2 linked regions of the Astyanax mexicanus genome follow. The protein of the gene in region 1 interacts with the protein of each later gene in a pairwise test. Links are inferred from orthologs where the notes say so. Each region holds a gene or a part of one and is shown on either strand. Other genes may lie near its edges.

Evidence for each region.
Region 2: the proteins of hsd17b14 (region 1) and phf1 interact in binary tests that used the Homo sapiens proteins (3 or more experiments, as listed by UniProt). The two-hybrid records come from large-scale screens. The link is inferred for Astyanax mexicanus from reciprocal best matches to the Homo sapiens genes HSD17B14 and PHF1.

What each region holds. Positions count from the first base shown.
Region 1 is NC_064426.1:17,506,234-17,514,328, reverse strand, and holds the start of hsd17b14 (17-beta-hydroxysteroid dehydrogenase 14), read left to right. Parts: upstream 1-5,040; 5' UTR 5,041-5,190; coding exon 5,191-5,278; intron 5,279-5,415; coding exon 5,416-5,454; intron 5,455-7,035; coding exon 7,036-7,133; intron 7,134-7,242; coding exon 7,243-7,309; intron 7,310-7,446; coding exon 7,447-7,538; intron 7,539-8,095. UniProt on the Homo sapiens protein: Catalyzes the NAD(+)-dependent oxidation of L-fucose, yielding L-fucono-1,5-lactone, which rapidly converts spontaneously to L-fucone-1,4-lactone. Can also act on D-arabinose and L-galactose, with lower catalytic efficiency. Does not use NADPH.
Region 2 is NC_064408.1:114,662,249-114,669,651, forward strand, and holds the start of phf1 (PHD finger protein 1), read left to right. Parts: upstream 1-4,346; 5' UTR 4,347-5,165; intron 5,166-7,403. UniProt on the Homo sapiens protein: Polycomb group (PcG) that specifically binds histone H3 trimethylated at 'Lys-36' (H3K36me3) and recruits the PRC2 complex. Involved in DNA damage response and is recruited at double-strand breaks (DSBs).

The DNA.
Region 1 (8,095 bases):
AAAGCCTTTTGAAGTGTTGCATTGTGTTGCTTAGTTTTACACTAAAGCCCTGCAGGGACATAATTTTGTTCCACTATTTACAGTCCACAGTTGAAACGAAAACAAAGGCCTCTTTACTTGACTTAACATTCAAAACATCCTACCAGGAAAGGGACAGGCAAGGTCAACGCAATGTGAACTGGTAATGCCACGATCCACAGGCCAACGTGATTTTTAGCAGCTGTCTATCAACAACACCATAGCAACTGCCTAAAATATCAAAGTTACAGCACCCGTCTAACAACCACCTATTAAACCATAGAAACTTCTTAACAACACCAAAACAACCTTCTGGAATACCATAACCACCAGCTAGCAACATCATGAAAACAACCACAAATACCCAAAGCACTAATGTAGCACTTGCATGGAAGTGCAAGCCACGAAAGCTGTGAAACCATTCTGCACTTCCTTCAGGAAAAACACTTCTCACATTTTAATATGCAATTTAATAAATATAATAATAAAGACAGAACTTTCCATTTTCCTAAAAAAAGTTATTTACAGAAGATCATCAGCAAAGCTCTGGATATATTACATAGCATGGTCAAAATAAAAAGAAACAGCAGAAACAGGACACACTAAACAAATATGTTTTTGATTAAAGACTAAATGCTTGCTTTAGTTCCTATTGTGCTTCTTCTGATACATGTGGATTTCCACCACACTGCCACTAAAACAGCACCACTGGAGCTCAACACGCTTGGAGGAGAACTCCAACTGGCAGTTCTGTTACAATCAGTGACGTCAGTAAAGCGTAACTTACGGTAGTAACAGTGGAGGGAGGAAAGAGATGCACGTTTTCTAGCTGGAAATACAGACACTATTCTGAGTTTGTATCAGCTAAGGTTTCTAGTGAAGTGAATTTTGGCAAAATAATTAGTTATGTAGAGGTGGCAGTAACTTAAAAGTAACTTAAGCCTTATCTGTATGGGATTAGTTTCTCAGGGGGATATTTTACACTTCTACTCATTGATAAAACTCCTGCATCTGAAGTGCAATCGAAAAAACAGGAGGACCAGAGAATTTATTGGCTTTCTCTGTCACATGACATCACGTTCAGTAGCTCCTTCATTTCCACTCGCTATTGTGTTTACATGGATCTCCATGGATTTCTGTAACCTACTACAGAAAAAAAAGCTCTACTGACAAGAGCTGCCAGTGCTTAAATATCACGTTTCCTTAATATCTGATGATGATACATACTGGTCATGTTATGAGTAACTACAGAAAATATAATCCCTAATGCTCCTTTAAAAGGGAAGAGGAGGAGAAGGGCGCCGAGTGGTCCAGCTGTCTAAAGTGCTGCCACTATGAGCAGGAGGTCGCAGGTTCGAATCCCAGCTCATGCAGCTTTGCCATCAAGCTGCCGGCGCTCAGAGGGAGCCCAATTGGCCCTGCTCCCTCTGGGTGGGTAGATGGCGCTCTCTCTCTCCAGATGTCAATCCAACAGTGATGTCTGCAGCACAGGGCAGCACAGCACAGGGCGTCTGTGAGCTGACATACTCGAGTTGCTGCGCTTTCCTTCGCGCTGGCTGCTTGGCAATGCTGCATCAGCAGCAGCTCGAAAAGAAGCAGTGGCTGGCTTCACATGTATCGGAGGAAGCATGTGTTAGTCTTCACCCTCCTGGTGTGTTAGGATAGTGATTGGGGGAGTCCTAATGAGTGGGTTGGGTAATTGGCTGTGTAAATTGGGGATAAAATGGGGAAAAAAAATAGAAATAAAATTATAAAAAATAAAAAAGGAGGAGATTTTAGCTTGAACAACATTTTTATGAACACAATATAAAAAGGTGGAGACTTGCATGAAACATTCACCCAAACGTAACTACATTTGCTTTTAGAATTTCGTGGGGGGGATAACCATCACTAGAACATCCTTACACAAAGAAGTGGCTCAATTAGAAGGCTCGGGTGAAGCTACTGTGTCTGGTGCTCTTCAGGCTTTTGGGTTATCTCTAAGGCTAATAATGTCTTCCTTTATAGCCTCACAGCACTCAATGAGTCCACTTCACAGGTGCTTCAAATCTGAAAAGAACAACTTCAACCATATATTGAACAACAGTGGCTTTAAGTTCTGTGTTGCCCCATTATGTTGTTTAAGAGCTAGTCAGCTACGCTCTAAATATGCTCTAAATAACTCTAAATAGACTAAATTTACTGGAAAGTTAGCATAGTTGGCTACTTTATGATGAATGCCCACAGCAGTAGCTACTTCAGCCTGCATTCCCTTTTAAATATGATACAACCATAATAAAAAATACAAAATTGACAGAATATTCTACACAAAAGCAGAGAAAAAGTGTTCTTAAAACTGGGTGTGGCAGACAAAGACTGAAAACTGAGAAACCTGTTCAGAATGCATTCAAAGGTGGACTGGTGAGAGGGCAAGAAAGCTGCAGAACTGCATTAACTGCACAGATGTTTTTTTCAAAGGCCTCAGGGAGCTTTTTGGTCCATGATGATACAACTTACTTCAACAATCAAGAGCAAACCAAACTAGACCTCCAAAATCCTATATAACTATGTTCTAGTCATCTGTAGCTGAGTCTAATTTTTGACAGTTTAAGTAGCATTTAATGTGAGGGTGTTTTACCATTTTATGGATTATAAGAAGAATTTTAACAGTTTTATATGTTACCTCAACCTCTCTGTATTGTTTAAATAAAGATCAGTTGTTCCTTTTCACAGGTTTTTTTACAGGTCAGTATATTCTTTTTGTGTTTAGAATCTATGTGTGCACTAGATTTTGAAACACTTACACTGACTTACACTGATTACCCTGTTTTTTCTGAGCTGAAAAGTTGCTTTTTCTAAACTGGAAACAGATCTACCTAAAACTAGATATTCACAACAGAAACAAGAGAGACAAACCTTCGAAGCAATCCTTTACAAAAGACTACAATTTCATGTCTTCATAAAGAGAACAAATCCCAACTCATCAGACCAGAAAAACTGGATCTGTGACTGATTTGAATGACAAATCGGGCCTCAACAACACATTCTATAGCTTCAAGCATCCCTGCTTCCACCTCAATTTAGGGCATAGCTGGACTGCATAGCTGCAGCCAAGCTGCCCATGCTTATTCCTTTCCACCACCTAGTATGTAGAAATAGATAGAGTGCCAGAGTTTTTAAACACTGTGGACCCAGACGGTGTGCTTTATTAGACACTCCTACATGGCTGCTCCTACTTGTAGATGTAAAGTCAGAGACAAAAGCTGTTGATGCACAGTCTGTGCTCGCTGGAATGCTCACACATGTCTCCATACCTAAACCCTAATGAGCATCTGTGGGGCATCCTTAAAGGAAAGGAAGAGCAATGCAAGGTCATTGTCATGGAGGGTGGAAGAGGATTGTTGCCAGTGGTTTAGATATAAATGTGTCACATCTTCAGCTGTCACATCTGGTGTTGTAGGCGCTCCCTGTCCTTTCACACTTAGCTTCAACTGAGGTTCTCAGTTAGACAACTACAACACCCAGAATGCACCACCCACTGACATCACACACACTGCCGATCACGTGACACCTCACCTGCCCCGGCCAGGAAGTGCTGAATATTGATTATTACCTGCAGTATAAAAGGACTGCTCACACACACATCTGCGCCGCGTATTGCCTTGTTTCCCCCACATTACAAAGTGTTTATTCTGTGATTATTTTCTTGTGTATGACCTTGCCTTTTGTTTTTTCGACCTTGATTTTTGCCTTGCTCACTCTGTGGATTTTCGTGTATTACCTGGACTGTTTATCGTTTCTGTTTCGGATCACCTCTGATACTGCTTGCCTCGTGTATGATCTCTGGACTGTGTATCATTGCTGTTTGTGGATTATCTCTGATACTGCCTGCCCCGTGTATGACCATTGGACTGCCTCACTATCCGGTAATGGTCTTTACCTCCTGGTATCTGTTTACCGGTGTTGTTTACTCTTTGCTACTGTTTTATATAGCCTGTGGGTTTTCAATAAAATCCTTAACTGGTTCCGCGAGTGTCTGTATTCTGTACCACACCATGACATCAGTGTTTTGTAAATATATAACAAAATATTTACAAAAATGTAAAAGGTTTACTTCTTTTTTAGTGAGATACTGTGCGTTTTAATTTATTTATGTTTTTTTTTTTAGTTTTTGTAAATGGATTTTACAGAAGTTTGATTACCGATTTTTTTTAACTATAAGGCGCACTTAAACCCCTTTATTTTTCCCAAAAATCGACAGTGCGCCTTATGTATAAATTCTACCAGTCAGGTTGTAAGGAGCAGAAAAGCCATTCCTCTGAAGTACGGCAGAGGAATTATAAAGGAGTCTCAGTGAAGTTTTTCCAGTACTGAGGCTGAAGCAGTATTAGCTTTAGCTGCTACTACTGAGTATTTTGAACTGCATGTTTATAACGTTAAAACTACGTGGGACGAACTGGCTTACGGGCCCCTGGCTTACTGGAACTGTCGGACAGCATTTACTACCACTAAGCACTGCTAACCACGGCTAGCACTGCTGCTAATCGCACAAAAATATTGGAAATGTAAGCTTAATGTAAATAAACGGAAGTGCTTTACTCACCCAAATAAACCGTTTTCAGGAGAGAAATCTGTGCAGATTAACATCCAGCCTTATGTATAAAATAGACTAGAAAATAAACGTTAATTTCCTTATAATACAGTTCGTAAAACACAGTATTTAATGCATTGAAGTTTTTTCAACACCATTGAACTCAGTCCTCGGAACTCTGTTTAAACTTTATAAAAAGCAACCTAATTTAAGCGTACCCCAAATCAAGCCTAAGAAAGAGTCGGTTTGAAAGTTTGACGCAAATTTAGCTGGGAAAACGCGACCCCCTGGAAGTGTGTCTCAAAACGACCCCCAGGTAAAGAACCCCTGGTGTATAATATTAACAAAGACGGGGTCATAATGTTATGCTTGATTGGTGTAGGTCTTATTATTGCTGGGGCTGCAAACTACAATTCCCACAATGCACCGCCGCAGAGCTCGTGCTGTGCGCCTGATGTGCTTGTGTGTGAGGCTGGGGTTGGTGTTTGGGTGGAGAGCTGCAGCGCTGATTGGTGTGTGTGTGTGTGTGTAGTGTAGTGTAGTGTAGAGAGAGGGAAGTCAGCTGATCGAGCTGCTGCTGCTGGAGCTGCTGGAGGTGCAGAATGGCGAGCTCTCAGCGCTACAGCGGGAAGGTGGCGCTGGTGACCGGGGGGTCGAAGGGTATCGGCAGGGGGATCGTGAAGGTTTTCGGTAGGTACTGGAGAGCAGGTGCAGGAGGAGGAGGAGGAACAGTGTGAACGGAGAGTGTGTATCTGTGTATAAGAGTGTGTGTATGTGTGTGTGTGTGTGTGTGTGTAACGAGGCTCTCCTGCTGTTTACCTTTGCAGTGCAGAATGGGGCTAAAGTTGTGTTCTGCGCCAGAGGAGGTAAATACACCTGTTTATTACACATTTGTACACCTTCTACTTTCTGCCTGCACTCATATTTATATTTTACCTCTTTACCTCTTTCCCTTATTCATTACGTCCTCACTTCCTGTCTATAGAGCTGCACACATTTATCTGAATACTTGTTTATTACTTAATAATATGTACTTAATATACACTTCTGTGTGTTTATTCACATTCTCTCTTCCTTATCTATTCACCTGGTCTACGCCTCTCTTCAGGGTTATGTTGTAAAGGTGTTTATTCTGTACAGAACCCTGTCAATTCAGGAAACCGATTCAGTGTTTAAATAGTTCTATGGTTTTCTAAATACAATAAAAATCTCTAGTTGATTTAAAAAAAAAATGTTTTCTTCGCATCTCTGCATCTTTTTTGTTATTTCAGTCATTTCTCATTTCTGGAAATAAATGCTCTAAATGACTATATTTTTATTTGGAATTTGAGAGAAATTTTGTCCATAGTTTATATAATAAAACAACAACGTTGTCTCTTAACTTTTTCCAGACATCTCTCTCTCTTTCTCTCTCTCTTACTCTCTCTCTCTCTCTCTCTCTCTCTCTCTCTATATATATATATATATATATATATATATATATATATATATATATATATATATATATATATATATAACTCAACATTTTAAGGCAACTTACTGCACTAAATTTTTTTGTTTTGTTGCCAACTCAAACTTTTAAATTTTTTTGAAGAAACACACCACCAGTTGTGCAAACTAGAAAGCTTTAGTTTAGATTTAGTTTACAAATATTAAAATAGGTCTCATCAACTTAAAAACTCACTTTGTGTTTTTAGTTGGCTTCATTTAAGTACTACTAAATGTTTACATTAACACGTTTTACATTAATTAAATTAATACAGTGGGCGCAAAACTATGTTTTTTAATGTACGTTAGGAACTGGAAATTCATGATTATTACATATCTGTATTATTACCAGTCATGTGACCCATTCAGCATATAGTCTATATACACTCAGCAACACAAGGCATAGCAACTTGCTTTTTTAGCCTTTAACACTGAGGACAGGGTTAAACACATATACAAAATACAAAAGCAGGGGGCCTGTGGAGAATATTTACACCCTAATGGTGAGTTAGAGGTGGGGGACATTTGAGGAGCTTAAAATAATTTAAATTTAAATTTATACTGTTCACATCAATATCAGTGTTATCAAATATTGGATTTTTGTCTATAGCATACAGAACTAATGTGCATATTTATTTAATCACTTTATTACTGTGTTATTTTTATTAGTTACCTAGCTTAGTATTAACTTCTCAATAAGCAACCAGAGTATTTTACTTTTGAAAAAAATCTGTTATTTTTCTTTACTGTTGTAAGTTATTATTTTAACTGACTTTGTGAGATTTTAATGATTTTAATGTAAAAAAAATCTGTCCATTAATAATAAAAAAAGAAGAAACAGGAGAAACAGTTGATATAATTCTGTTCAGTTACTGGAAGGGCTTAATTAGTGCATGTTTATTTATTTGTTACTTATTACCTCTTTATTGAAATATCTAAAACCTGCCCTCTCTCATTAGCTGATGCAGGTAAAGCGCTGGAGGCGGAGCTAAATGCAGCAGGTCCAGGCTCCTGTCTCTTCCTGCCCTGTGACATATCCAAGGAAGAAGATATCAAGGTGCACCATCTTAGCCTTTTATGAAACCCATGTCCTCCCCTTATCCTGTCTTCCCTGGCTTCTGTATACTACTGTCTGTTTACCTTCTGTCTCTCTTTTTATTCCTCAGAGACTGATCACTGTGACTGTGGAGAAGTTCGGACAGATAGACTGTTTGGTTAATAATGCTGGCTGGCGTGAGTACTTGACCCCATCCTTCCGTTTAATTTATTTGCTTAGTCAAACTTTGGAGATTCCGCTTTGTTTCACTTCTACAGAAAGCAAAGTTTGACCCAGATCTAACAGTGACGCTCCCTGTCCCTCTCGCTTTCAGATCCCCCCCACAAACCCACGGATGAGACAACCGCAGAGGAGTTTAAAGACCTGCTCAACCTCAACCTGATTAACTACTTCCTCGCATCTAAGGTGAAGCTCCCAAACCAGTCTCCCCTGTCTAACCAGTACTACCAACTTTCTGTCTTGTGATCAATAGGTGTCATGCACTGCATATTTTAGTGCAGAAATCTATATAGTACTGTGAATAATATTTGCCCCCTACAGATTTCTTTAGTTTTTGCTTTTTTATCATATGTACATTTTTCAGATGATCATTTACTAAGGGAAAAAGTCTATAGAAACAACCTCACTAAGACACAAACAGTCTATAATGTTTATAAAAATACACCTAAAAGTAAAGGTAAAGGTAATAAATGAATTTGTATTTGATTACGTGAAATAAGTATTTGATTCCCTACCAACCAGCAAGATTTCTGACCCCAAAAATGCACACTGTCCCAGGTTGCACAAAATTTAGTCCTGTCCCTTTAAGAAAGTACTCTTAATATATCACCTTGTTATGTGTAAAAAAAAGACACCTTTCCATTCAAACCTCTCGACCACCATGTTCAGGACCAAAGTGCTGTAAGGTAAGGATGATTCTGACAAAGCTTCAAAGTAAGCTTGTTAATGATCTCAAGGGAGCT
Region 2 (7,403 bases), on another chromosome or scaffold:
TGGAATTTGGGAGAAATGTTGTCTGTAAAGACCACTAAGACACCACTTAAAAATGATGAGTTTCTTTGATTTTACCAAATTGAAAACCTCTGGAATATAATCAAGAGGAAGATGGATGATCACAAGCCATCAAACCTGCTTGAAAGTTATCCAAAAGCAGTGTGTAAGACTGGTGGAGGAGAACATGCCAAGATACATGAAAACTGTGATTAGAAACCAGGGTTATTCCACCACATATTGATTTCTGAACTCTTAAAACTTTATGAACATGAACTTGTTTTCTTTGCATTATTTGAGGTCTGAAAGCTCTGCATCTTTTTTTTTTTTGTTATTTTAGCCATTTCTCATTTTCTGCATACAAATACTCTAAAGATTTTTTTTTTATTTAGGATTTGGGAGAAATGTTGTCTGTACTTTATAGAATAAAACAACAATGTTCATTTTACTCAAACATTTACCTATAAATAGTAAAATATGAAAAACTGACCAGTATTATACCTTTGAGGGTACAATTCAGAAAAGTGTACCTTTAAATACAAGAAAGTACTTATATCATACCTCTGTTTTTTAGTGTGCATGTGTGACAGTGCTGACATATTTTCTTGTCTTTTTGGCTTTCAGTTCACCACACACACACTCACATACCGCCATTTAATCCCTTCATGACTCAACATCTGGGCGCTCCTGGTCTAACAGGAAAGTAATCTAAACTGAAAGTAACAAGCATCTCTAAGTAACTGTTTACCAAATTACCAGTTGACAGATCAAAGCAATGCATGAAAATAGCTGCTGGATTGACTGTGTTACTGTATGCAAGGTGAAATTCTCTCTTTCCTGTCTCTCCTTTTGAGCAGGCGTTCTGTGCTTGCCCTCTGGTGTGCTATCAAGGAACTGACACTTCTGCTTTCCAAAGACCTGCCAGAGGCCATTTTGAACACAACATGAATAGCAGAACTGCAAAACAATTGTGTGTGCTTTACCACATACTTAAAGCTTTGAAATGGTGGCAGCGTTTGATCGCTGAATACAATCAACCACTCAAACCATGCAGCCCGCATGACTCTGACAGCCTGTATAAGCTGGGACTATATATATAAATATATATATATATATATATATATATATATATATATATATATATATATATATATATATAGAGAGAGAGAGAGAGAGAGAGAGAGAGAGAGAGAGAGAGAGAATGTGGCAGTATTAACTAGATCCATGTATTTACATAAATTAGCATTGGGTCCATCATAAGTAGGATAATTTGAATTTTTCAACGAGTTTGTTTGTCTTGTTTTTGAAGACTAACCTACAGCTGACTATAATATATATATACTATAATATATTATATACGAAACTGAACATAGTACTATATGTTAAATACACTACACACTGTACTGTACTATAAGCAAAGTGTATTTTATAGATAGTGTGCTATGTTCACGGCTACTTCTTACTGCCATAATTAGGAGTAGTTTTAATTGGCTTGTTAGATGAATTCCCTCAATTGGGCTAATAATACTAATACTAATAAAAAATTGTGCTACTGGTAAATTTCTCTGACTTTACAGACAACATTCCTTCCAAATTCCAAATAATAATATTGTAATTTAGTGCATTCATTTGCAGAAAATGAAAAATGGCTGAAATAACCAAAAAGATGCAGAACTTTCAGACCATAAGTACTGCAAATAAAACAAGTTCATTCATAAAGTTTTAAGAGTTCAGAAATCAATATTTGTTGAAATAACCCTGGTTATTAATCTCAGTTTTCATGCATCTTGACATGTTGTTTTTGGAAAAAACTGAAAAACAGGTACAGTATAAATTCCGGACTGTAATGTTTTTTGTGCGATAAACAATATTATTGTCATTTTTAGGAGAATTTACACCTTTTTAAAGACAACATATCTGTATCTAATCATAGTTTGGAAAAAATATTTTTTTTCGCACCTGTAGTCACAGTTATTGAAGCATTGTTCAGTTATTGAAGCATGCCAGTCTAAAATACTGTTCACTGTTACAGTTTATATGTAAAAAAAAACATACAATTAAACAGGATATGCAATATCACAATTATCAAATATTATTGAGGAACAGTAAGTCAAAAATATAACGATCACAACTGGCCTAGTCATGCATGTCAATGTCAAGTGAAAGTATCAGTTAGCCTTAATGTGCTTTTAATATTAAAATACATTTTTATCTATTTTAATATTATTACCTTTAAATAATATTAAAGTAAATAACTATATTTAGGCATATCGAGTATTTGTATTTAATGTATTCAAGAGTATAGCTAATTTGTGTTATTATCTAGGTAAAATGTAACTGTTGGCCAATATAGACTGTGCTAGTTAGCTTGCTAGCTAAGTTTATTAGCTACTACTTTCACTTTTAATGGGTCTGTGAGAGGAACTCACACTTTTGTGCTAAATTACTACTAGCAAACATTTACATATCATTGCTGTCCAATAAAAAACAAGTGCCTTTAAAATAGCAACTTTACACAACAGAAAAAAACTTCTAAACTTTCAATGAAAGTTAATGTAAAAAGAGTTAATTTCAGGTCAATTTGAAGTATTTCTGTTGATCTGTTCATCAAGAAATTTTGGCACAATGTAAAAGACCATTTGTCTGTTAAAATAATTTTTTTAGCTAAAAATCAACAAAAATGTAGATACTTGTTTTTCATTGGACAGCGACTATATGTAGCATAGTAATATGTAATAATTTAATTCTGAGCATCTTTGAAAAGTTTCCCCTCTCTGATTAGTACAGTGCTAACAGCAATTAGCACAGTTAGCTGTTAGCACTGGTTTACTTAAATAGCTACAAATACTTCAGCCTTAAACACTTTTAAACAAATCTACATGTATAACATATTAACTAGTAAGTAGCTAACACATTCATTATAAATGTGTTTTATAAATTTTGGAGAAAAAAAAAAATAACAATGCACTAAGAAACAAACTAGCTAGCTAACCAGTATATTTAGTCTTGATATATTGAAACAGATTGACTGACACAGTTTAACTTAGAAATTAGCACAAAATACTGTCAGTACTAAACATATTTACATATTAACATAGTAGCTAGTATGTAACATGTAACAGCACAGAAACATTAAAGGATTTATTTATTTACAATTACACTTATGTAGCACATTTCACAATTACATTCCACACACACTGTGAGAAGCGGCAGCCAATCACGCACAGCCTACTCTCAACCGGAAACAACCATCCACCTGGAGGACTGCATCAGGCATCTGAGTTGACCCAGATCCATATCTAGGCATACATTCAAACACCAGGTACATTTTTTTAGAGTATCCAATTTTCTGGGCAATTTAGATATTTAATTTACCTCATCTCCCTGTTTTTGTGGACTGTGGGAGGAAACCAGAGTCCCTGGAGACCCAGATAGGGACTTGAACCCAAGATCCCAGGAAATAACAAAGCCACTGTGCTTCCCCTTATTTCAGGGGTTGGCAATAGGTGGCCTACGGGCAAGATGTGCTCGCAATATAAAAAATATATCTGGCCCGTGAGGTTGTTTGAACTATAATGAATGTTAATGAAAAAAATAAATTAAATAAAATGCTTCTCAGGCTAGCTTTTGTTTACAACCCTCCCCTACCTCTCTCTGGCGTGCTCAGTTCCCGCCTGTTCTTGGGCTACTTATGAGGGTGTTTTTTCTCCGGCCGTGTCCCAATTCACTAGCCGGGGCAGCGGTACTGTTTCAGACTGCGACCCTGATGACACGGGTTCGTTCCCGCGTAAGGAGTGGTGTGTTTATTTATTTATTTTTTCCTTTCTTCTTGGGTTTACCTGCTTTGAGATCAACTGTTCTGCTGCAATTGGGTTCAACAACCCTCTGGGCTGGAGAGCTACTAGTTTTTAGCGCTTCACCTCATTACTCACTTAATTTTCCAAAACAGATTTTTTTATGGGATACAAAAATATCTTACTTATTAATATACACTTAATTGCCGACCCCTGATCTATTTAAAGACTTAAATCTACTTGTAATACAATTTCCCTAAGAAAATGAACTAAAGACAGTCCAGCAGGCTCGACTGCAGGTTTATGAAAGTGGGCAGTCCCAATTTTAAGGAGGGGATGTTTTAAGGGGAAGGGTTACACTGGAAAACAAGGGGAAGGGGTACCAATTAGAAATGGGATTGGACCTTTAAAGTGTTGAGTGGACGGAGGGAAGGAGAGAAGGAGAGAAGGAGGGGGGCGGTTGAAAACTTTTCTCTCTCCGGCCAGTAGCCTGTGATACACACACACATACACACACACACACTCTCTCTCTCACACTCACACACACTCACACACACACGCACACACACGAGGTGTTGCGTCAACACAGGCTGTCTGTCGGTCACCGTGGGCTTACAGATGTGTGTGAAGGTGTGCGCGCACACACACTCACACACACACACACACACCCCTCCTCAGCAGCCAGAGCAGCAGCAACCCGCCTTATCTCTCCCTCCCACTCGACTGCTCTGTGTTTTATGTCTGCGTCACAACAAGTCGAGAGAGAGACAGAGAGAGAGAGACAGAGAGAGAGGAAGAGAGAGAGAGATGATGATGATGGTGATGATGGTGATGATGATGGCGTCTCTGTCGGCTCAAGCCTCCCTGACAGGCACGTTTTAACAACAGCGGCGAAGGAGAAGAGGAGGAGCAGAGGAGGAGAAGAGGAGGAGGACAGAGAGAGTGAGAGAGAGAAGAGGAGAGGAGGAGAGAGGGAGATGAGAACATGACGGAGCGGCGTGGCACGAGACAGACGGACTGACGGACAGACTCAACACTGACGACTTGACTGACACACACACACTGATATACACACATACACAAACACACTCATATATACACACACATACAGAGAGAGAGAGAAAGAGAAAAAAGAGAGAGAGAAAAAGAGAGGAGAGCACTCTCTCTCTCTCTCTCTTTCTGCTTCACACACACACTCATACACACACACACACACACACACACTCTCTGAAAGCACATCCACAAGAAGAGGAACAAGAAGAAGAAGAAAAAGAAGCAAAGACAAGCAAAAACAGCTCGAGGTCGGACATATTTTCATGTCAAGCACCGACAGCAGTCTCTGTGACCCCAGCAGAGAAGAGTACCACTTCACAGGTAAAGCCAGCATCCTTCTTTCTTTCCTTCCTTCCTTCCCTCCTTCCTTTCTCTCCTCTTTACAATCTGTTTCTCCATCCCCATCATCATGTGTCTAGAACCGGCAACAAGAGTAGCATCAGCAGCATCAGCACCAGCAGCAGCAGCAAATCCATCCCACCCCCCCACTTCTAACCCCCCCCAACCCCATCAACCACCCCCCCGCCCCCTCAACCCTCTCTCTCCCCACCACCTCCATAACTCATAATTCTTCCTTTTCTTCATCTTCAGCCTTATTCCTCCCAAACACAACATCACGCCACCTTTCCTAATGTGCATTCGTGCATTCGAGCTGCTGTTTGCTGTTGCGTAAGGAAGGAAACCCACAGATCCGGTTGTGGATCCAGTACAACAACAGAAAGCAAGCAGCTCCCTCGGAGCTAAAGCCTCAGTCTCTCATCATTCACAGCCCTGTACATTTACACTGTCGCTATGCACTGAGTGTGAGTTTAACCCTTTAGGTGGGAGAGTGCCCTGCATGCTCCTGAGGCCCTCGGGGCTTTCTCCTGCACTTTAAACTCCACCGGTGGAGTCAATGAGGGTGCAAAAAGCAGGGCATGGTTGAAAAAGTGAGGAAAAGTGCTCTATTGGCTGGACTTTGCAAAAGGAAAAAGTGATCAAGCGCCCACTAAAGCTGCTGAGGTGCCACTTCTCGCAGTTCATTATATGATTATGTATCTTTTAGAAGAGGAATATTTGATTATAGTACATTTATATGTCTCAATTAGTGCCTAACTATGAGTGGACTTCTGCTTTCCTGCTGTTATGCAGTGTCTTCTGTTTCTATGCCACCCCCTTGGGTGCCCATTCCAGCAGAGAAAATGGGATGCGTTGCTTTACGATGTTTCCCTACAGGTAAAACTCAATGAGAAATCACAGTGAAGTGTCCAGTTAGGTGCTTAAGCCGCAAGACAGTGTATTAAATGGGATGCAGTGCCAGAAAGGGTGTCCTAACATGTGTGAGAGTGTTGGAAAGTTTACTAATGAAAGTCTCTTTAATAGAGAATATGTGATGTGATGTTCGTATAGAATAGGTGCCCTCTCATTAGGATCAACAGTGTTTGATTAAAAAAAAAAAATGAATGATGTTTAAAAAAAAAAAAGGTAAACCTGCATTTATTCATTCTATTTAAGTTTTTTATGTTTTAGCCAAACCCCATCTAGAATGTACACATGATGTCAGATGGGACTTAATTCCAGTAGGATTTTGTGTGTGAAATAAAGTGGTAATAAAGTAGGTTTGAGAGCCTAATAATATAATGCTAATATTACTCAAGAATAAGGACTATTTTATCACACAGGGTGTCCCAGCATGTGTGTGAGAGTGTTGGAAAGTTTTCTAATGGAAGTCTCTTTAGTAAAGAATATCATCACTGTCCAATAAAAAACAAGTATCTCCATTGTTGTTGATTTTAAGGCTATTATTTAATTTGAACACAAAAACTTTTTTACACTGTATCAAAATTTCTTGATGAATGGACCAATAAAAAGTCTCTAAAATGAAAAAATAAAAATAAAATAAACTCTTTTTCCATTAACTTCCAATAAAAGTTAAGAAAGGTTTTGTCTCTCTCCTGTAAAGTTGCTAAAGTTGTTTTGGAGATACTGGTTTTTCATTGGACAGCGACGATATGTAATGTGATGTCCCTAAAGAATAGATGCTCTCTTATTAAGATTAACTGTATTTGCTAGAAAATGTATTAATAATGTTTAAAAAACAAGTTTTTTTTATGTTTTAGCCACACCCCCTCTAGAATGTACACATGATGTCAGATGGGACTTAATTCCACTAGGATCTTGTGTGTGAGGAGGTAATAAAGTAGGTTTGAGAGCCTCATAATATAATGTTAATCTTAATCAAGAATAAGGACTACTTTATCACACAGGGTGTCCCAGCGTGTATGTGAAAGTGTTGAAAAGTTTCTTCAGTGAAGAATATTGTCACTGTCCATTAAAAAACAAGTATCTCAGTTACTTTGAAAACAAAAACTGTCTTTTACACTGTATCAAAATTTCTTGACGAATGGACCAATAAAAAGTTTCTAAAATGACTTAAAAGTAAAGAAGGTTTTATCCCTCTACTGTAAAGTTGCTGTTTTGGAGATACTGGTTTTTAATTGGGCAGTGATGATATGTGATGTGATGTCTCTAAAGAAAAGATGCTCTTTTATTATTTTTTTTTTATATATATATAATTTT